Linked DNA regions of Struthio camelus. The protein of the gene in region 1 interacts with the protein of each later gene in a pairwise test. Links are inferred from orthologs where the notes say so. Each region holds a gene or a part of one and is shown in the gene's direction. Other genes may lie near its edges.

Region 1 (11,018 bases):
AGAGAAGACTGAGAGGAGATCTCATCAATGTGTGGGTGTCGAGAGGATGAGGCCAGCCTCTTCTCCGTGGTGCCCAGCAACAGGACAAGAGGCAATGGGCAGAAACTGAAACACAGGAAGTTCCATCTGAATCTGAGGAAAAACTTCTCTCCTGTGAGGGTGCCTGAGCCCTGGAACAGGTTGCCCAGAGAGGCTGTGGAGTCTCCTTCCCTGGAGATATTCAAAACCTGCCTGAACACGACCCTGTGCAATGTGCTCTAGAGGACCCTGCTTGAGCAGGGGGGTTGGACTAGATGATCTCCAGAGGTCCCTTCCAACCTAAATGATTCTGTGATTCTGTGACTCTGTGATCTTATCACAGTTCATCACAAACACTAATGAATTTACCTAGTAGCCTTTTAGGAGGTCCAAGTCCACACCCCCAATACACTTCACACTTGTTAGAAAAACACAAAAGCAACCATTCACGACCACTGTGATGAAAAACCTCAAAGATATATTTTATTTTTCACAAGTACAAAAAAGCTCAAAGACCCTGGAATCAAAAGCACTTCTGTTCACTTAATTGATTCAGTATATGTCGCCATGCACTTTACTCTTACCTGCAAAGAGTCACTGTCCCAGCTTACCAAGTAGAAATAGGTGACGAGGGTCACTAAGACAGAAGTCATGCAGATGACCGAGACTGCTTTTTTGATGTGATGGAAGAAAAAGCTGAAAACAGAAACCTCTACTTTCCACAAAGATAACTGACTGGAGACCAACACCCTGGATGAGCTATTAATACATGATTATTATCCATATGCAAGAAAATCAGGCAAGAATTTCAGTATCAAAATTCTTAAAGTCTTCAATTAATTTTAGGGATCGAAACTGTAATGAGCATGTACATACTCCTAGAGCTCCAGAATTCACAGTGGCATTCTAGGACACCCAGCTGCCGCTCTAGAATCTCTTCCTTCAGCAAATCTGTCCCCACCTGGCTAGCACAGAACACAAATTACTCAATAACTCCAAACGTACTGCTGTACATGATGCACACATAAATTTAACGGCAGGACTCAGGATAACCCTTACCCTCCCAAGTCAGCATCTGGTTCCCTCACAACGAAACATCTGTAACAAGGAAGGAAAAGCCCTGCTACATCAAAGCAATGATCTACCTTGCATCTAATATCTTGTCTCTGACACTGACTTGTAGTAGACATCTAAATTGAGCTGGCTTCACATTTAACTCCATGAGCACGTATCCATCTCCTCTTTACTGTAGCACACCACTGTCCTACCCTAGCCCCGCATATCCTGGATATTTCCTCTCACTGCTGCCTCCCTCCTAGCAACCGTGCCATACTCTGGCCTCTGTGTTCCTTCTCGTTAGTCATCACTTAACAATTACTCTTACCTCCTCTTCTGCAGCTAGCTCTCTGGTTTCTGCTGACAAAACTTTCATCATCTCTAAAGAAGAGGAGCTGATTCTTCAAAAGAAGAGCAATGCTAAACATTTTTATAAATCCTGAAAAAAAAGTGGAAAAAAAAGTGCTGAACTCTACAATTCAGATGATGAGTATTTCTCATCATCTGAACTCTGTAGTCTAAGTTATGCATCCAGGTCTCAGGACTGTGTAGCATCATTATATAAAAATCATATTTAAAGTTCCTACAGTTTGAACACCGGAGATTTTAATTATTTTTGGAGAGAAATACATTGTTTGCTTAAAACACTGGACTGAAATTAAGGAGACTGAGAAATGCTAATATCAATTAGCATCACTTTGGGTAAAAGAATAAATGAAGAAACACAACACAGAGAGATTATGACCTGTGTTACATAAAATATCAGACAGTATGACCAGAATGGTCCTTTCTGGCCACTGAAACTATAAATTAATTAAGAACTTTGCCTGAAAATTCTTAAATAACATTTTCAACACAACACTTTCCTTACATTGCACAGTGAGCACCACAGACTAGTCTGACATAGTAAGAAGATATAAGATCTCATTTTCTTATTGCCCAAGACCTTATGAAATTATTTTTTTAACACGGTAGAATTCTACACTCATCTTGTACAGGCGTAAGTTAAGGCCACACGTCGTCTGTTCTAAACGTGCACAAGTCTGCTCTGCCCAAACCCAGCCAAAACAAGAGTCGTGCAGCCTGTTCATATGGTATGTATGACTTAAAGTGCGCATCTTTGCAATACTGCTACCAAAACACTATCACTATATCGCCTTGAGGATGTCCTTCAGGAGAAAAAAGGAGGATCTGTCTTTGATGGGGTTCACAACCAGTTGAGGACTATGGCGGAAAATGGCTGTGGGATTACTGAGATCCCATCCTCCTTGCCCACTCTTGTGTAATGTCTCCCACTCCTTCTGCTCAGGACAGACAGACCTTGCATGGCTTTTGCTCTTGCACTTTGCTTGGAGAAGGAAAACTTCCACCAGCAAGCCTGATGGAGAGCACAGCCTGCTCCCAAACCCCTTCCTTCCCTGCTGCTGGAAGAAATGAGGTGCACCACCATAGGATAGAGATCACCTTTACAGAGTGCCAAGCTGCTACACCCTGTCTCTCAGCTCTGTTTTTTACTTTGGCTTTAAGTGAGGTGCATGGTTTCCATTTAGCTTAGGAATCCCAAAGAGACTGTGGAAGTGAACCTGCTTCACGAAACTCTGGTGTCACTGTGGATATATATAACTGTACCAGAGCAACTTCACCGACCAATACTCCCAGGACAGTCTTTAGGATACTATTTTCACTGTAGAATTTTGTTCAAGTTTTGACTCTTTCTCTGCCCATCCATTTTTAGTTACAGCTAAACAGGAACTTGCCAAGCAAAAATCTGATTTAACATGAAAGCTGTGATTCTGACACCAACCTGATGTTGGAGCTTCCCTTTAAGAAATAAGCAAACGACACCACTGCAGCAAGCATATCTTCACAGTCATATCCATACCAGGGTAAAACTAGAGTTCACTTAATACCCCTGTGTTTAACAGAGGTCTCAGCACAGACTTCAATTTTGCCAGGAGCATACTGGTAATCTCTGGGCTCTCTCATAGGTTTTCAGTCATGTACAGTCTCAAAGCCATGTCTTTCCCTTTTCTGTGTGCACTGTGCTACTACCCACAGGAAGGAAATACAGGTCTACAACTCCATAAGTACTTTTTCAGCAGAGTGTTGACTATCCAGACCTTCATTATCTGAATTTATTTGAAGAAATGGTCTCATGTATTATTATATTGAAAATGTCCTTCACCATCTGAAACCGTTACTGTTAAGATTTATTTCATATTGCCTATGTCCTTGAGAAATAACACTTGTAATAGCTTTGTGATGAGCATTTAACTATGTTTCTTTCCTTTACCTTTGAAATTTTGTCTAATGAGGCCTATCTTAAACAGGCTCAGCTCCCAGGGCTTGCTGCCAATCCTCTTTACAGTTCAAGTTTTCATCTGCATCTGCCAAGAGGTTGATTTAATCAGATGTATTAATTTTTCAGTCTTAAATGTTATAGTCTTGTATATAACACTAGACTAGAACACCCGGGCATCTGTTTTTAAGACTTTTTTAAGATATGCATTTTTAGACAACAGAGGCCCTTCTGACAGCCAGGATGATTGAAATATAATACAAATACGGGCATATGGGCTGTAATATAGGATTCAGACAGGACATCCCAGCAGCCTTGGGTTTTGTTACCCATCTTCTATCCCTCACACAGCCAGGAATAGGTGTACACATCCAAAGATACCACTGTTACAAATTGTGAGGCTTACATGAAAATCTTCTGATGACTTTGGTGGAAGAAAGGGGAAGTGCAGAGAGAGGCTCCTGCACTATGCACATACTCAAAAATACAAGTGTTTGAGAATGGCCCATTAAAGCCTTGTGCCTCCTGCTCTGTGTATGACTATGCTATACTTCATAAGGCGATAAAGAGGCAGTGATTTTGAGCATGTGAAATCTCCGAGTTCTTGCTTTCATTTCCACTCTCTCACAGATTTTTCCAGAGAGAATATAAGTCCTGTTCTAAAGCTCCTCTTTTTTTTTTTTAATATGACGTTAAATGTCTCTCTCATCAAAAGGATGCTCAGAATACTCTCTGTGGCCATGAAGCTATACATGTTATCTACAAAAAGCACCCATTAACAGCTTTAATTGATCTTCCTCCTCTATTCCATTACATCTCTGACAACACCTGACAATATAAGACTTTAAAAAAGGAATAGCCGTTACCCAGATCTATGGCCCTCTCCCACTCCAATGGCATCCTTTTCCCTTTTCCTCGCTTTCCTCCCCATGGCTAATGATCACACTTAGGAAGAGCATGTGGTCTACCTCTACTAGCATTACCTGCTCTAATCGACTTTAGCTGCCATTGCCTGTATCATGGAAGCGCAGGAACAACTCTGACTAAAACGTCTGTCCTTTTGCATCTCTCTGGTATGGTGCAACTCGCCTCCTCTTCTCCATTTTTGCCATTACACTCTTGAAGTAGCTGGAGGTGCTATGCACAGGGCAAGCAGATGCACTAAGCGTGAGTCCGCAATGAAGCAGGAGGAGCAATCACTCCCACTCTGTCACCTTCTTCCCCAGTTGGAGATTTTTTTCTCCCTTACCAAGGATCTCCTTTGATTTCATTGATGAGACAGTAGAAGAGCTTGGTTCTACTAATCAATGAAGAACCTGCAAGCAGTCAAGCAACTGAGCAACAAACTGAGCACAAAAATGTGCCGATGCAAATAAGGAGCGTGCAAGGCGAACATACTGCACAATACATGTCCCCAGCCTTCCAGTTTCGATACTTTTTTTGTGTCTTCCTATCTGATAACAATCACACCAATGTCTATGGGAGAGGATCCTTGGAGCAGTGAAGCACCAGGTCCTCTGAAAATTCTGAGGATTGGTGATATCCAAGTCATTTCTAAAGCACAATTCTGGTCACAATCCCCTCCCAGCGTGGTGCTGTACGGTTCACCACATTTTATTACTAGGCTCAGCGCTCTCTCCTCCAAGCTATATAATCAGAGAGGGCGACGTTTTGTCAAGGCCCCTGACTCGCGATGCTAATAGCTGCACACTGATCGCCTCCCCTCCCCAGCGTGCAGCCCGTTAAGTCATTCTGCCCGGGTGCCGTCTCACTCGGGTTGGCCACCGGTGCTTTCGGGGCTCGGGAAGGGAGCACTGTAAGTGCTGTGCGGGCAGATCTGCCGGAGCGCCCCCGCTCCTCACGGCCCTCCAGAGGCGCCGCAGGAGCGCGCCGGGCTCCGCGCCAGCTGCCGGGGGCGGCGGGGCTCACCTCGGGCAGAGCCGAGCCCGCTCCTGCGGCGCCCTCGGCGGGCCGAGCCGACACCAGCAACGCCGGAGCCGCCCGCGCCGCGCCAGAAAGGGCAGTGGCGGGCGAAGCCCAGCCTCCGGCCCGCCCTCCCCGCGGCGGCCCCGGGCTCCTCCTCCCGGGCCCGCCCGCCGCACACACGTGCCGGCGCCCAGCGGCGGGGCGCGCCGTCGGGGCGGGCGGGCACCGCTGCTGCCGCCGCCGCCGCCGCCTGCCCGGCACCGCCCGCGCCGCCGCCACTCGGGCTCGCCGCGCCGGCCGCGAGGCTGGCGGCCCCGCCGCGCCATGGCCGTCGCCTACCTGCTGGGCAACGGCTCCGCGCCGCTCCTCGCCGGCGCCCTGGAGGCCCCCTTCGCCGCCAACGCCTCGGCCGCCGCCTGCCGCCCCGCCGCGCCGCCCTGCCCGGCCGCGCCGTCGGGCGCCTGGGGCAACGGCTCGGCGGCGGCGGGCTGGGACCGCTCCGAGCCCTGCGGCGGCGGCGGCGGCAACGGCAGCGCGGGCGGCGGCGGGCCCTGCGCGCCCGCGGCGGGCGGCCCCTCCGTGGTCACGGCCATCGCCATCATGGCCCTCTACTCCGTCGTCTGCGTGGTGGGGCTCTTCGGCAACTTCTTGGTCATGTATGTCATCATCCGGTGAGTCGGCTGCAGCGCCCCGGCCCCGCTGCCGTCGGGCGGGCGGGCGCGGAGCTGCCGCGCCCCCCGGGGCCTCTTCGGGGCAGGGGGGACGTGCGCAAGGGGCTGTGCCGGCGGGGCGTTGGGGCTCCTGCCCCGGCGCGGGGGAGGGAGGCTTTTGAGAAAGCTGCGGGGCGAGTGGCCGGGGAGAGCAGCTCTTCAGACGGGGCGGCGGCCGTGACGACCGGCCGGGCAGCGCGGCCCCTCAGCGCCGCTTGGCAGCCGGGGAGGTGCTGCCCCGGCCCCCGGGGGGACGCGGCTGCGGCTGGGAGCGCCGTGAGCGAGCAGCGGCGCGAACGTCACACCTGGCCGCCGAGGCAGGAGGGCGGCAGGAGTGACTGTAGCCACTACCCGTGAGCGTCTGGGTATAGACACTCGCGCACATCCCCGCGTCTTTCCCCTCACCTCTCCCAAACAAGCAAAATGCAGACAGCGTCACGGCTAAGTGCCTCTGTCTTCTGGATTTATAGCTCCCCGGCCTAAGGCGTTGAGATATAAATATATATATGTGTGTGTGTGTGTGTGTCTGTCTGTGTATACATGTGTGTAGACAGATAGATGTATATAAAAGGATCGCGCGCACTATAAGGAAATCAAGCTATCCGGCAGTGCTGCACCATTTCGCAGCTTTCCCGCGCCAGCCGCGGGCGGGGGGCGGCCGCCGCCGCGCAGCGCGCCCAGGTGTTGCCCAGGTCCCTCACATCTGTCTGTGGCTTCCACGCACGAGAAACCCCACAGCGGTAAATCGGGATCCTCTCGCGGAAGGCGAGTGGCGGCGAGATTAAACGGGCTCCTTTACCCGGCCGGGATGGGGGCGGGCCGCTTCGGTGGGGGAACATCGCCACCTCCCGGGGACCCGGCCCGGCACGGGGGCTCACCCAGCGCCTCTTTCCTTCCTGGCTCCTCGTGGTTTCAACATCTGGAGGGACGCGGAGAAGAGCAGCCAGGGAGCCGAGCGGAGCCCAGCGGGGCGCTGCTGGAGGGAGTGCCCTGGGGTGCGCCCATCCCCGCCGGGACAGCCCCAGGCCGCCCAGTTTCCCCAAGTTTTCAAAGCATCCTTCACTTTTTCCCTTCAAACTGTACATTTCCCAAGGAGTCAGGGTAATAGGGAACTCTAAAAACACACTGGGGCTAGCTAGGCTGACATTCACTGCAGTAGGGTAGCAGCCACATAGCCATCAGTCTCGGGTGCCACGGCTGCAGGGACCTCACAGGTGGAAGCTGAGGCTGGTGCCAGACATTGCTCGCAGGCCAGCAGCACCGGGGAGGCTTCAGGGCACGCTCGGCACTGGGAGCACTAGCTAGAGAAAAGAAAAATGCTCAAGGTAGGATGCTGCAGCACAGCAGAGATTGGTTCCTTCAGTGTGTAGCAGCATGTTGGGGAGGTCAAAACCAGCATGGCTTGTAGACCTAATGCGACTAGAGATTACATTACATGCATCAGTGGTTCAAACCGTAGCAATCCACAAACCTAGTGCTTAACTACATTTTAGAGGCTGTATTTTAAATATACAGCACTGGGAAGATCTGTACTGCTGTGTGGTTTTGGTCAGCCTGAGACACAGGCTATTTGCATGTTAAGATACAGCTGTAGAAATGCTTCTGAACAGGGGCATGATTACAATTGTCTGAGCAAGTGTTGTATGCATCCTTCTGCGAGAAAAAGCAGATGCACAATATAACAGAGCCAGGATGGTTGTCGACAGAGAAATATGCCTCAAGTTGTCCCTGGGATTATGTATATATACTGGATATAACCTGTGGTATGCTCATATTTCTTTTATTTATTAACTGAATTACGCTTGCACTGCAAAGTCAAATTGAACAAGGCACCTGCATTTAGATACCTGTTTAAAGAGAGCGTCTTCCCAAAGATTACAATCTAAAAACAAAAGTCAGAAGTAATAGGAGAAAACAAAAATGTGTTTTCATTTTACAGATGAAAGTACAAGAACATTAAATGGCTTCTTGAACACCATCCAGAAATTGTATGGCAAAGACAGACTGAATGCAGGTCTGCTGTGCTTTAACGGCAGGAGCAGCTTTCCATATGACAGAGTTGCTTCCCAATTAATATCATGCAGCTATTTACCAATTTGGAATGAAGAAGAACATACATGTTATGATTGAATAGGATCTGTGGTTTAAGTAACACAAAAATGCATTTCCTTTCTATGCTTCTCTGTAGGTTTAGTCTACCTCCACTACAGTAGGGAACTTTTTTATTTATTTCCTGCTGCAAGGTGTACTAAGATGCCAGTATTCCCAGTCATTCCCAGTTGATATGCATGATGCAAATGATGAGTGCATGTGCTCATATATCCTTGGATCCAGCGGAAGATAGGAGCAAACCTTTCACTGGACTGAATTTGACGTCATATAAAGCTCCTTTTCTTTTTTTTTCTTGCACCACACCTGCTCAGGAAGAGCTAAGTCTTGAAGTTTATGTTAAATTTGAGACAGATTGAGGGTACTAGAAATCAGATTTTAAAAGCAAGGATGGATACCTAATTTACCCTGGAAATGCTAGGAGTTGGGAGGCAGGTGCTTAAAAATCTGAAACACTGTCCCTTACTCACCTCTGTTAATCTAGCCCCAGTGAAAGCAACAGTGACTTCTTACCCAGTGCTGCATGTTGCCATTGCGCCATAATCTCAGCTTCTTTAGAAATATTTTTGGGGGAATAACTATTGCATTATTCCTATAAACAGATAAACTTGAAACTCCATCCAGTCATTTCAGCTTTTCCAGATGAGTCAGATCCATGAGTTTGGAGACAGAATTGTGCAAGTCCTTGTTGGACGTGGAACCCTCGTTTCCGATCCACAATGCTGCCATGTTATCCTTGCTGTAGGAAACAGAAGTCAAAAAGGGGACACGTCCAAAAAGGAGATAGAAATGTAATGTCATTATCTATATGAAAATGTAGATTCCACAAGTCCTTTGCCCCGTTTTCCCTTGGCCAGATTTCCAGTGTAAGGAGCAATGATTTTATATACATATTACTATATAATTAATGCAATCTCAACCACTCTTCTCTTTTTTCCCCAAATGGTGCCTTTCCTCCTTGAAAGAATATTTACAACATGATATATCTGCAATGTATGAAGTTGAACCCCATATTACCAACACTGAGCTGTTTCCTTCAGTGAGAATAAAAATAGTCCTTTAAGTGACAGCAGAAATAGTCAGGTTTTATTGCCATCCATGAACTTCCTACCATCTGAATAATCTGCAGATAATTTTTATTATCAGTTTTCCTCACGTATTTCATATAAATGTTAATTATTAATACAAACATAGTGTTGTTACACCTGTGTCAACAGCAAATGCTACTTCTAGCTGCTGCAGAGTATGACAGCACAGAGTACAATTAGTACCATGTGGTATGAATTAATTTTCACAATAATCTATAGGCTTTTCCTGCTCTCTAGTCAAGTCAATGGGATATTAGTCACAGATTAGAGTGGGACGAAGAGTATGCCCTGTGATTAAGGCAGTTTGCACAATGCTAGAAAGCTATAATAGAATTGTAGCTGAACATCTTCAGCATCGCATGTCTGGAAGAGTGGAATAGCTCTCTAAGGTCCCAGTCCTCCACAATGCTAAGTGCCATGAGATGACCGTAATTCAATCAATAGCCCTTAAAGTCATTCAAGTCAAGATTCATCCCTTAATTGCTTTGCTATTAATTTTGTCACGTATCATAAACAAAGGTGCCTGAGGTACTCTGTGATCCTTCACAAGAGGAAAGAAATGTCTTGTTTCATTGTAGTCAGTCATTACTCTGTTTTTTTTTTTAAAAAGCTTCCTGCTCCGAAACTAAAAGCTGTCTTTTTACATTTCTCAGAACAACCTCTGAATAATGTTTTGAAGGGACAAAGAGCTCTGATGAAAAAACACTCTCATCTGGAAAGATTGTACGATACAATAAAGCTCTGGTTACTTCAGCCCTGTTCTCATGCACCTTAGGAAAAGAGTGTTTTCCTAAGGAGGAGGGAATATGGGATGAAATTGCAATTATAAAAAGGATTGATATCTCAAGAGGAATAAATATTCTCACATATGTGCAAATAAAGGGAAAAGTAAGGGATTTGGAAAGAGGTTACAATATAAGAAGTGGAGAGAATCTATTTAGGGAAATAAACTGAAAAAGATCCAAATATTGAAAAGGGTTTAAGTGAAGGAAGTTTTTCAGAAGCTCTTCTTTACAGGCCGACATGGAGTTGTGGATGCAATGTGAAAGAAGGCCCCCAGCATGCTTTGTAACACCGTCGATCGGGAAATCTAGAGACCAAGAAACGGATAAAATGCATTCCTTTCTTTCCTGTCCACAGCCACATGAACCTCTTTGCATTTGGATGGCATTGCATGTGCTAATGGGTGGCCTGCCTATTCAGCAGGCTGCAAGGAAAAATTTCAGTGTTCTTGATAAGAGCAGTTAACTAAAGCCACAGCAACCTTAACCTCAGCAACCTTAGCCTATAATGCCAATTTTTAATTTATACTGCTTCCCAATACAAGGCAGAGAAGATCTGGGGACAGAACTGGGAGAAAATATGAATGGGCAGGAACAGCAAAGCTAAATTAAATGAACAACGCAGAAAGTGACCCACACTGTCCTGCATTACAGAAAGGCAGGTGTCTCTATTTGCACACCTTTTGTGATAGAAATTTGCTCTGTGTAGTCTCTGCTAGTTGGCAAATGTTTGACTAGCGAGCTGCTCCTTTCCCTCCTCAAAGATCGAGGGAACCAGGCAGACAAAAGACGTCTTTGTATTCCCTTTCCATTTAAATTACACTGATATGGCGACAGTCAAAATTCAGCCCAGAGTGCATTGGTCTGCAACCTCAAAATAACCCCAGTTTCACTGAGAGAGCAGCCACGCACCCCTTTCCAGATCTTGTGCCACAGCGTGGTGCCTGGCCCCGTGGTCGCAGCAAGCCCTTGCCTGCAGGGCAGCGCGCCCACCGCGGCAGGGCAGGTCCTCTGTACACTGCTGGCTCCT
Region 2 (10,644 bases), on another chromosome or scaffold:
GTCGGAGGCGGCTTTGCTGCCTCCTGCGGCATTTCCACGCCGTGGGCGCATTCCTTCTGCATGAGTGGTGCAGACGCCCTGCGATCTGCGACGGATGCGCAGGCAGGGCTTCGGCTTGCTCCCTGTCGTTGCTCACAGCAGCGATATTTGGGAAATACAGCGTCTCGTTTCTACTTGCAGGGTTGGCAATGATGCATTTGCAGTTTTGTCCCGCAGCCCCGGGGTGGCCATTTCTTTTACTTGGCAAAGTGGCCAGTTTGCCCTAGAAACATGAGCTTGGTTTGCAAGCTTAAAATAGCACTTTTTCCAGCTAAAACCTCAAAAACATTGCAATGTTTGCTTGAAAATTGGACCATTACTGAAGAAAGTGAGGCATTTTAAACTCAAATTGTCCCTAGACTTTGAACAAAGATAAGCAAAATTTTACAGTTGTTCATGAAACTGAACTTTTCTTGCAAATGCAAATAAAATGCAAAAAAACACCACTTCTGAGCCTTTCCAGCGCTCCTCGGTATCCTTGCAGGCCTTGCCCCTCCTTACTCGCTCCAGGATCGCAAGGAGTTTCCCTCTGATTGCCCATCCAAACCTCGCACATGGTGCAAATCCTTCTCGAGCTTCCAGGCGCAGTGGCTTTTGGTCTCCTACCAGCACAAGACTAAATGTTATTCGGAGCATCTTCATAAAAGTTAACAGCACGGGGACGTACCCGAGCCAGGTTTTCTTGAGCAGCCCTCCATCACCGGAGACGCATTTACAACCACAAAGACAATTGTTGCTAACTCATCCCTGGGCAAAAAAAGCAACCGGGGATTTCTAAATCCAGCCGTCTTCTTTCCGCCTGTTGCTTCACTGGCAGCAGTAAAGCTCCCGCCATCGGGACCTAACAACTCTCGGCGGCGCTTTCAAGCCCTGCGCCTGTCCGCCGGCGCCACGCACAGACTCTCGCCTTCGGCAGCTCCGCTCTCGCTCGGGTTCCCCTCAGGCGTCACCTTGCGACTGAGAAAACTGGTCCCTGGCGTGGTCTCCTCATCCCCCGCTCTGCAGCTCCGCTTCGCCTTTGGGCGCAGCAGCCAATTTAAGCTCATTTTACTCATGTGGAAACCAAAGCTCAGGGAGGCCAGGGCCCCGCTGGGCTGGCGATGGGAGAGCAGGCAGGGATCCTGGAGCTCCCCCAGGAAAGGCAGTACTTCCCTGATGGGAAAGGTCCCCATCCATCCCCAAAAGGCACTTCTGCATGGGTCTCTCCAGGCCCCAAAAGGAGGGGGGGGATCTCTGCTCTGGATGGAAATGTGCTGCGGTCACCGTCAGCCCCCTCCCCATGGGCCCGCCAGGACACGGGGCTGTTTTCGCACAAGCCCTTGCTTTGCTGAAGTATTAACCTTCCCACATAGCTGGCCCCATCTGACTCTCAGGGCACGGCCTCTTCTTGTTTATCCTGGCCCATTGCAGGGGATTCGCTGCCAATTTATATCAACCTACGCAATCAGACCTGGATTGAGGTTGGCAGGAACTCCTCCTGGTTCCTTATCACTTACCAAAAAGCCTCTATGAGAAGGAAGAGCAAAGCGGTTGAGTCACTCCTAAATGTCAATGTGAGTCAGCACAGGACCCAGCAGTGCCACCATTCAGCCCACATTTTATTGTACGTGCACGGGATGGGTCCTCCTCCACCCAAAGGAGTGCAGAGTGGGGCAAGAGAGTTAGGGAGGTTAAGGAGCCTGAGAGAGCCCTGACCCTGCTGAAATGCAGGGAGAGATGAACTGGCCAGTTATTTCCCACTGCATCTCTTCACCTTCTGTTTCTCTTGCTCTTCATCCAGGTTGGATGACTCTGGCCCCTGCCAGCGCCGCCCACCATGGATTGGAAAACGCTGCAGGCACTGCTCAGCGGGGTCAACAAGTACTCCACGGCCTTTGGCCGCATCTGGCTCTCAGTGGTCTTTGTCTTCCGCGTGCTGGTCTATGTGGTGGCAGCCGAGCGCGTGTGGGGGGATGAGCAGAAGGACTTTGACTGCAACACACGCCAGCCAGGATGCACCAATGTCTGCTACGACCACTTCTTTCCCATCTCCCACATACGCCTCTGGGCCCTGCAACTCATCTTTGTCACTTGTCCTTCCCTCCTGGTCATCATGCACGTGGCCTACCGAGAAGACCGTGAGAAGAAGAACCGTGAGAAGAACGGGGAGAATTGCCCCAAGCTCTACAGCAACACAGGCAAGAAGCACGGCGGGCTGTGGTGGACCTACCTGCTCAGCCTCTTCTTCAAGCTTATCATAGAGATACTGTTCCTCTACCTCCTCCACAAGATGTGGGACAGCTTCGACCTGCCACGGCTCGTCAAGTGCGCCAATGTGGACCCTTGCCCCAACACTGTAGACTGCTACATCGCTCGGCCGACCGAGAAGAGGGTCTTCACCTATTTCATGGTCGGGGCCTCCTCCATCTGCATTGTCCTCACTGTCTGTGAGATCTTCTACCTCATCTTCAAGCGGGTTGTACGGACTGCGCGGAAATGGAAGAAGTCCACCAAGCGCTCTGTCAGCTACAGCAAGGCCTCCACCTGCCGATGCCACCTCAAGCTGGAGGAGAAGGAAAACAAGTCCCAGAATAGGTCTGTGGCAGCCCTGAGGGCCTCGGCTCCCAACTTGACTTTGATCTGACAGGGTTGTGGAAGGGGGAGGGGGAGGGAAAAATGCCCTGGCAAGTGCCAGGGACAGTGACCCCATCTGCAATGCCACCACCAGACTCTTCAGCCGGGACCTTGATGGCTATAAAGGGGAGGGAGAGCACATCCACGGGAACTCTCCTACTTGGTGCTACCAACCGAATGTACCTCGTGGGGATACCTCTGCCCAGGCTTGTTAGGGCGACAAGGGAGGGACAGGGTCCTCGCAGGGAGGTTGTGTGTGACAGCCCCTCTTTGTGTGCGTGCTACAGGAGTTTGCAGCCAAAGAGCATCTCTGAATCCAGGAGCTCGTGCTCTTCATTTTGCTGCAAGCTGCCACGCCACAGCAAGCAGTCCCGTAGCTGGGTGCGTCTCTCCTCTGCGCTCGGAGAGCTCGGAGAGGAGGGGGGAGAACCGTGGGTGCCCTTATGCCATGGGAGAAATGACGGATGTGAACTTGCTGGAGAGACTACAACCTCCACAGTCTCTGTTAGGTGCTGTTTGTCCCTGCTCCCTTTTTGCAGCACATAATTCAGGGCCAGTAACCTCACGGGCTCTGCTGGAGACAGGATGCACAGTCGTATGGGGACCGAGCAAGGGGCTCCTGGTCCCTCCGCCCAACCAGGACCTTCCCAAAGAGCTGAGAGTCGAGGTCTAGGCTTTCTGTGGAATAACGCTGCAGGGACGACGGGACGGTGGGCACGTCCTCGGGTGTGCCGCTAGCGAGGGCCCGCTCGGCGCGGGCAGCAGCGTGCCTGAGGGTGTCTGTTCTTTCCACAGAGGAGAGGAGATGTGATCTCCCACCCGGCCCGGCCCGGCCCGACTCAGAGACCCTGCCCCTTGACCCATGAGCTGCGAAGTGCCCGAGCCATTCGACCCGTACCAGAATTGACTAAGCCCAACAAACTAAAGGCCCCTGAGAAAGGGCAGAGGGGCATCCGAGCGGACGCAGGTAAGGCCTGCGATCACCACTGGCCACTGCCACGGTGCAGCACGCTTTAGGGACCACGTCGATGCCCAGATGCTGTGCCTGAATGCCAGCTCCTCGGTCAGAGCCCTCGTCCTGCTGCAGGCAGAGGTGGAGCTGCTGCGGGTCCTTCGTGCTGCCAGAGCGGTGCTGCAAGATGTCAGCGAACCCAGAGCAATCACCGATGAGGGTCGCTGCAAACTGCCCATTTGGGGCGATTTGCCAGTCCTGGGGCAGAAGCAGGTTTCCCCTCTTTGCTCATGCAAGCGCCACGCTGATGTCCCCCTGCTGCAGGCTCCTCTGCTTCCCTCCGAACCGGGGTCTTTGCATCCCTTCCTCGCCTCGGATGGATGTTTCAGCAATGTCATTAGCTATGTAAACCAAAAGGCCAATAAATGTTATGTTGTTTGTAGATGCTGAGATCTGCTCTGTGTGCTGTGAGTCCAGGGAGGGGAACGGCGAGGGCACATGGAGCAGGGAGAAGGGAAATGGCTAGGCAGGAAGAAATGAATTTGCTGAGGTTTCCCGGGAGTCTGTAGCAGCCAGGAAGGTGGCCAGGTCCCGAGCGCTCCCGTCCCAACTGGGGCTGGTGCAGGTGAAGCTCTCCCTGAATCCAGCCTGCTGGGTGCCTGCCTCCGGCGCGGCGTTCTCCCGGCTCGTCACGCACCGTTGAGCTTTAATTCACTGCAACCGCGTGCTGGCCCCTGAGGAAATCAAAGAGGGATCAGCATCAATTATTTACTAAACCTTGATAAATATTACAATAAATAGCAATGATTTCCATTTAATCTCTCCTTAAACAGCTCAATGCAAAGGGTCTGCTGGCGCTCTGGTCAGCCGGGGTTTCCAGCTCCCGCCTGGCCGTGCTTCCCCACTCCGCGGCAGCACCCTGCCCGCGGGCCAGGCGCGAAGACGTCGGGCACCCGCACAGGCACCCGCGCACTGGGCACGGCCTCTCGGCGGGTAAAGCAAGGTGGAAGCAGGAGCATCAGCAGGCGAGGGCTGCTCCGTTTGCTCCTTGGCTATGGAGCAATGCCTCGGCTGTCAACTGCAGGCGGTCGGGAGCGGGAAGTGGTTCGCCGTGGGAAACGTGCTCCCGCCTCTGCGGCACCCTGGTATTTTGGATAGAGCAGCACATAGGGTGCAATTATTTTATATTAAATATAATGGTGCTTTTCCTGCTCCACCCACTGCTCAGCCCCAGCACTGTCTTGGAGGAGGAAATGCCACATCTTGGTGTTGGAGAACCAGTGGCTTCCTGCCATGCGCGTGGACTGGCCCACTTTCTTCCCTGCTTGCCCAACCCCAAATCCTGGCTGTGCCAAGCGCAGCGGGACAGTGAGGGTGGATGCACGTGGGGCTCTTTGCCCTGCTTCAGCCTGTGCATAAAATATCAGCATCCACCCGAACTGCCTTCCTGAAGCAGGGCCGCTGCTGCCAAGCCTCGCTCAGGTCCCCGTGCTCAGTGCCTTTGCACACACCCGCCCCAAACCCTGCAGCGCCTGGGACGGGACAGCAGCCATCCATTTCCCCCACAGCAGAGCTGAGCCTAAAGTTGGACAGTGTGTTACAGCCCGTGCATGCTTAATTAAGCTCATCTCATCAGCTCAGTGTGTCAGGCTTGGGGCTGTGTTTTCGAGGCCTCCCGGGGCAGCCCTGCACCGGGGCTCGGGGCTGCAGCGTGGCTCCAGCACCACCCAGTGCCCGGTGCACCGCACGCCACCGCGCCGACAGCACGGCACCAGGAAAGCGAGTCCGGCGGCCCGGACACCGGCAGGCCCCAACCATGCCGGGCACAGAGCATCCTCTGCTGCGTCGGGCCAGCTGCCCGGGGGCTGCGACCGAGCTCGGCTGGTACCTCCCGCACGTCCCACGTGATGCTGACACTTAAACCCTGCAACTTTTGGGGCTCCCAGCTGGGGCAACTTGCTGGCAGTCCCATCCCAGCTGCAGCACATCTGGGCACCCTGGGAACAGGACCCCTCGCTGCTGTGCCGGTTTAGCCTGGTGGGAGAGCCTCAGCTGGCGGAAGAGAGCGCGAGGAGGCTCTTCCCCCTCCCCAGAGGACGGCTGCTGGCACGGGCCGCACCGCGAGCCGCGCTCTGCCTGCAGCTCGCAGGGCTCCAAGGCACGAGCCAGCAGGGAAATCCAGGGAAATCCAGCTGCTGGCCACATGTCCCTGGGCCATTCGCCCTGTCCCGGTGCCTGGAGCAGGGCTGGGGCTGCATCCGCCTTGGGCATGGCTCGTGGCCACTGGCGCGCCGGGATGCGGGGCTCAGCCCCCGCGACGCTGGCAGGCCACAGCCCCTTGCTGAGACGCTGTCCCCGATGCGGCCACAGATCCTTCGTCCCCCTGTGCCGGGGCCGCCGGGACAGCGCGACGTCGCCACTGGGCAGCACACTGCCACCCGTCCGCCCGCCCGGCTCGGTCCATCCCGCAGCCCTGCCCTGTGATGGTTTTGGCTCCCAGGGGCCTCCCATCTGGGCTGATTATTATTATTTCAGTCCCGACTAACTTGTTTTCTTCCGCTTTCTATTTCCAGGCTGCGCTGGCCCCATCCGTCACTCGCTGTCAGACATGGGGGGGGATCCCGGCCGGGCGGCTCTCTCCGGACCCGCCACCCCTTTCCCCTCCCTGCACGGCGCCGGGGGGGGGCCGGGCTTCCCGAAAGGCCAGAGGGAAAGCGAGGAGGCCCCTGGGCCCAGCTCCCCGCACACCTGCAGCTCGGCTGTTGCTTTAAGCCCTGGTCCCTGGGTTTCCTGCCTGCGCTCCTCCTCCGCGGGCTCCCCTGGGTCCCCTCCGTGGCCAGAGCCTCCCAGGCCCCGGCTGCTCACATCCTGCGCAGCACCAGACGCAGGCTGGACGTGCCCGGCACCGGGCGCTCGCTCCGCAGCGCCCGCCCGTGCTGCAGAGGTGAGTGAGCGGCGCCGGGCACCGGCCGCGGCACCCTGGGCACCCAGCTGCTGGCAGCGGGCCGGACGGAGACGCGGGTGCTCCTGCGCCCTCCCCAGTGGCATCTGTCCTGGTGCCGGGTACTTGTTGCGGTGGGCGCCTGCTTTCTGCTTCGGGACGTGGGGTCACCCTTCACCACTTGCTCCGACTTTCTGCTTTGGGCACTTGCCTCATCCCTCCGCTGCTGGATGTCCCTTTAACAAGCCAGCTGGCACCTCTGGTTGCTTAATTGGCAGGGGTTAATTAGGAGTCAGGGCTGTGCCTGCTTCCTCTCTCCCAGCTGGCTTGCAGGGCTTGCACTCGCAGGGGGAGATGCAGGAAAGGCTCGGCGGCAGGCAGGGGTGACGCCGAGGGGTGCCGGGAGCCGCGCGCTGTGCTGGTCCCTCCGCGGTGAGTGGGGCTGGTGGACACAGGGGCCACGCAGCCGGCGTGACGGGGGCACTCCAGGCTGCTCCCGGGCTGGCTGCTGCCCCTGTGCCGCTGGACGGGAGCTGGGGCTGCCCTAGCCGAGGTCGGGGTGGCTGATGGGTCCCAAGGGTTGGTGCTTTTTGGGCTCCCTCTCCCCACGACCCTGCTGCTCTCTGCCCCTGGTGGAGCTGCTGCAAAGGGCTGGTGGTGAAGTAGGTTTGAGCTGCTCCTGCACCCAAGGGCTGCCCCAAACTAGCTACGTGCCATAATGGCTGGCCAGCAAGCCCCTCGCTGGGGGCCGTGCCCTGGGACGGCTACGAGCCGCGGGTGCTGCTGGCTAGGTGCTGCTGCTGGGTGGTGGCTCCCTGGGTGCCTGAGGCCTGGGCTGTGAGCGGGACTGTCCTGCGGGCTGTCGCTGCAGACGCCCCTCACCCTGTGCTGTGGGAGGGAGCCCAGAAGGGTGGTCCCCCCACACTGGGGACTCCTGCTTGCCAAGTGTGTGCCACCTGGGATGCTCCTCAGTGGGTTCACTCTGGGCTGGGACACTCTTTGAGCAGCTGTGTCCCAAGAAAGTTTGCAGGTTAGCCAGCCCCATCTGCCCTGTGCCCCTTGGCAGGGAAACAGAGGACTAACTTCTCTCATTTCCACTCTTCCCTGCTGCCAGAGACGTGAAGCTCCCTAGAAGATGGGTGACTGGGGTTTCCTGGAGAAACTGCTGGACCAAGTCCAGGAGCACTCCACCGTGATCGGGAAGATCTGGCTGACGGTGCTCTTCATCTTCCGCATCCTCATCCTCGGCTTGGCCGGGGAGTCCGTGTGGGGGGACGAGCAGTCGGATTTTGTGTGCAACACCAAGCAGCCGGGCTGCACCAACGTCTGCTATGACAAAGCCTTCCCCATCTCCCACATCCGCTACTGGGTGCTCCAGTTCCTTTTTGTCAGCACTCCCACTTTGATTTACCTCGGCCACGTTGTCTATCTCTCCCGGCAGGAGGAGAAACTGAAGCAGCAGGAAAGTGAGCTTCGGGCCATCCATAGCAAGGACCCCAAGATAGAGCAGGCCCTGGCAGTGGTGGAGAAGAAGATGTCCAAGATCTATGTGACAGAGGATGGGCGGCTCAAGATCCGAGGAGCCCTGATGTGGACGTACATCATTAGTGTGATCTGCAAGAGCATCTTTGAGGCTGGCTTCCTCATTGGCCAGTGGTACCTCTATGGCTTTTCCATGTTGCCCCGTTATGTGTGCAAGAGGGACCCCTGCCCTCATCAGGTGGATTGCTTCATCTCCCGCCCCACTGAGAAGAGCATCTTCATCATCTTCATGCTGGTGATGGGCCTGATCTCCTTAATCCTGAACCTCCTGGAGCTCTTCCACCTCTGCTGCAAGAACCTGCTTAGCAACATCAAGAAAGTGTCGGTGCCGACCAGCCCAGGCCAGGACACCTTCGCTGACAATGTGGTCTCTGGCCCCTACCCACCCAAGCACTACCCCTTCCTCCCCATGGGCGAGAGCCATACGCCGCCCTACCAGGCCTACAACAAGCTCTCCAGTGAGCAGAACTGGGCCAACTTCAACAACGAGGAGAACCTGGCCATGAGCAGCGGCAGCAGGCCCCTATCAGACCCCTACGCCGTGAGGGCTGCTGAAGCCCTGGCTCCCGATGAGAAGCAGTGCAGCCGCCCCAGCAGCTCGGCCTCTAAAAAGCAGTATGTCTAGCGCCGGGTGCCGGCGGCGGCGGGCGAGGGGGACCTTTCTCCATCCCTCCCACTCGCAAAGGTGCCAGCCGCGGCGACGCTGCCTGCCCTGTGCCGGGGCGCCGTGCTGCTGGGGGGCACGGCGTGGGCACCGACGGGGCTGCGCCCCACGAGGACGTACCGCGGCGCTGCCGGCAGAGCCTCTTGGGGCAGCCGCCCGCTCCTCCGGCAGAGCGAGACGCTTTGGGACCTGATCCTTCACGAACTCGGCTGAGCGCCTCTGGTCCCCGGAGGGCAGAGTCTTTTTTCTCTTCTTTTTTTTCTATATATACTGTAAACAAGGAAACCACAGAGAAGCTTTTGCGGGCTGTGTCGGAGGCTCCTCTGGGAGGACGAGCTCTGGGAAGTGGTTTGCCTCTGGCCTCCGCAGCCCCACGGAGCTGGTCCAGCCTCGAGAGCCGGACGGCTGCGGGGCCGGGCTGCCTGTGGCTGGGGGGAGCACTGTGTAGCGGGTCCTGGTCACCAGCCGTACCCTATTTCTGTGACCCCTGGCAGCAAGTTAATGCCATTGTGGCCAGCATGGTGTTTGTGGCAGGGATGCCCTGCTGCCAGCAATGAGGAGAGGGTCAGCTGTGGTGCTGGCTCCATGTTGGGGAAACTGAGGCAGCCGGAGCCAGGTCAGCCCTGGCGACCCCGATCTCTGCAGGGCTGCCGGCTCCACGGCCCTGGGAGTGTGAGCCCCCCCGCGTCCTGTCCCTGCGCCCTTTCCCATGCAATGTGTGTCTCTAAGTTATTTTTAACCTGCTGGCCTGACTATGAAGTTTTTCTGCCTTAAAGGTGCAGTCATGCGACGGGCATCGGGGCCCTGGGTAAGGCAGAGGGCTGTGCCCAGCCACGGCCCAGGCCCCCAGCCCCTTGAGCCCTGCTGTTTTGGGGGAGGAATTAGCCTAGCAATTGCTGGTTCGAGGGGGTTATGGTTTTTATTACTTTGCACAAGTCGTCTCCTGCTGTGGGGCAAGGCGCTGGCCGGGGCGGCAAGAACCGGCAGCCGCTGTGAGCGGTTGCCCCGACTTCCCCGGTCCCCGAAGCTGTGATCGGGGAAGGGCCAGCGGGGCCCTGCAGCAGCCGGGTGCTGCGGGAACCTGCTCCGCGTGTTTCCCGCGGGCCCTGCGAAGCCTGGCGAGGCCAGTGCGGGATGGGGGCGTTGCTCCCCAGCGCTGTTTTGTATTCCCACCAACAGATACAGAATGTTACATCTTGCTAAATAAAACCGAATGAAGTAAAAGGATGATTTGTGGTGCATGGTGGGGAGGGTCGGGCACGGGCCCCGGGAGCGGGAAGCCGGGGGCTGCGGCCCGCTCTGGCGGGAGCGGAAAGCACGAGCATCGCGGCACTAACGCCCTCCCCGCGGCCCAGCCTGCAGCACCGGGTGGCTCGGCCCGGGCTCCCGGCCGCCGCCGGGGCCTCTCGCCCCCCGCCCCGGCTCCCCTGCAGATAAACCCCGCGGAGGCCACGGAGCTGCTCGCTGCTGCATAATAGGTGGAAATGAGCTGCAGATAAAGACACACAATGTGGGTTCGGGCTGTTGTTTAGTTTCTCTGGCCAAATGAGCCCGGGGCAGAGCCTGCGCTCTCTGCCCAGGGCCTCTTCAACGAGGGTGTGACATACTAAAAATACCTCCACGTAGACGAAACGTGGGTGATAGGGTGCAGAACTGCTGCCGTCGCCCGCAGGCGGAAACGGCGAGGGAGGCACCCGGGTGCGGGCAGAGCCCCGGGCGGGCGGCGGGCACGGCTGCCCGGCGCGGGGGCAGGAGGGCGAAGGGGAAGACCCGTCTCCGGGCTTACCCCGCTGCCCCCCGGCACCCCCCTGCCTCTCCCACAGGGGCTGCGCAGGGTGCTGCAGCGGGGCCGGCGCCCGGGCAGAGCTGCGAGCGCAGCAGCGCCGCGGCGGC

The links.
Region 2: the proteins of OPRM1 (region 1) and GJA4 interact in binary tests that used the Homo sapiens proteins (3 or more experiments, as listed by UniProt). The link is inferred for Struthio camelus from reciprocal best matches to the Homo sapiens genes OPRM1 and GJA4.

The regions. Positions count from the first base shown.
Region 1 is NC_090944.1:79,749,413-79,760,430, reverse strand, and holds the start of OPRM1 (mu-type opioid receptor), read left to right. Parts: upstream 1-5,623; coding exon 5,624-5,970; intron 5,971-7,675; exon of another isoform or gene 7,676-8,857; intron 8,858-11,018. UniProt on the Homo sapiens protein: Receptor for endogenous opioids such as beta-endorphin and endomorphin. Receptor for natural and synthetic opioids including morphine, heroin, DAMGO, fentanyl, etorphine, buprenorphin and methadone.
Region 2 is NC_090964.1:9,686,129-9,696,772, forward strand, and holds GJA4 (gap junction alpha-4 protein), read left to right. Parts: upstream 1-6,281; 5' UTR 6,282-6,548; exon of another isoform or gene 6,549-6,977; intron 6,978-7,659; 5' UTR 7,660-7,680; coding exon 7,681-8,712; 3' UTR 8,713-9,972; downstream 9,973-10,644. Other genes in the region: GJB3 (gap junction beta-3 protein), read left to right, coding at 1,856-2,662. UniProt on the Homo sapiens protein: One gap junction consists of a cluster of closely packed pairs of transmembrane channels, the connexons, through which materials of low MW diffuse from one cell to a neighboring cell.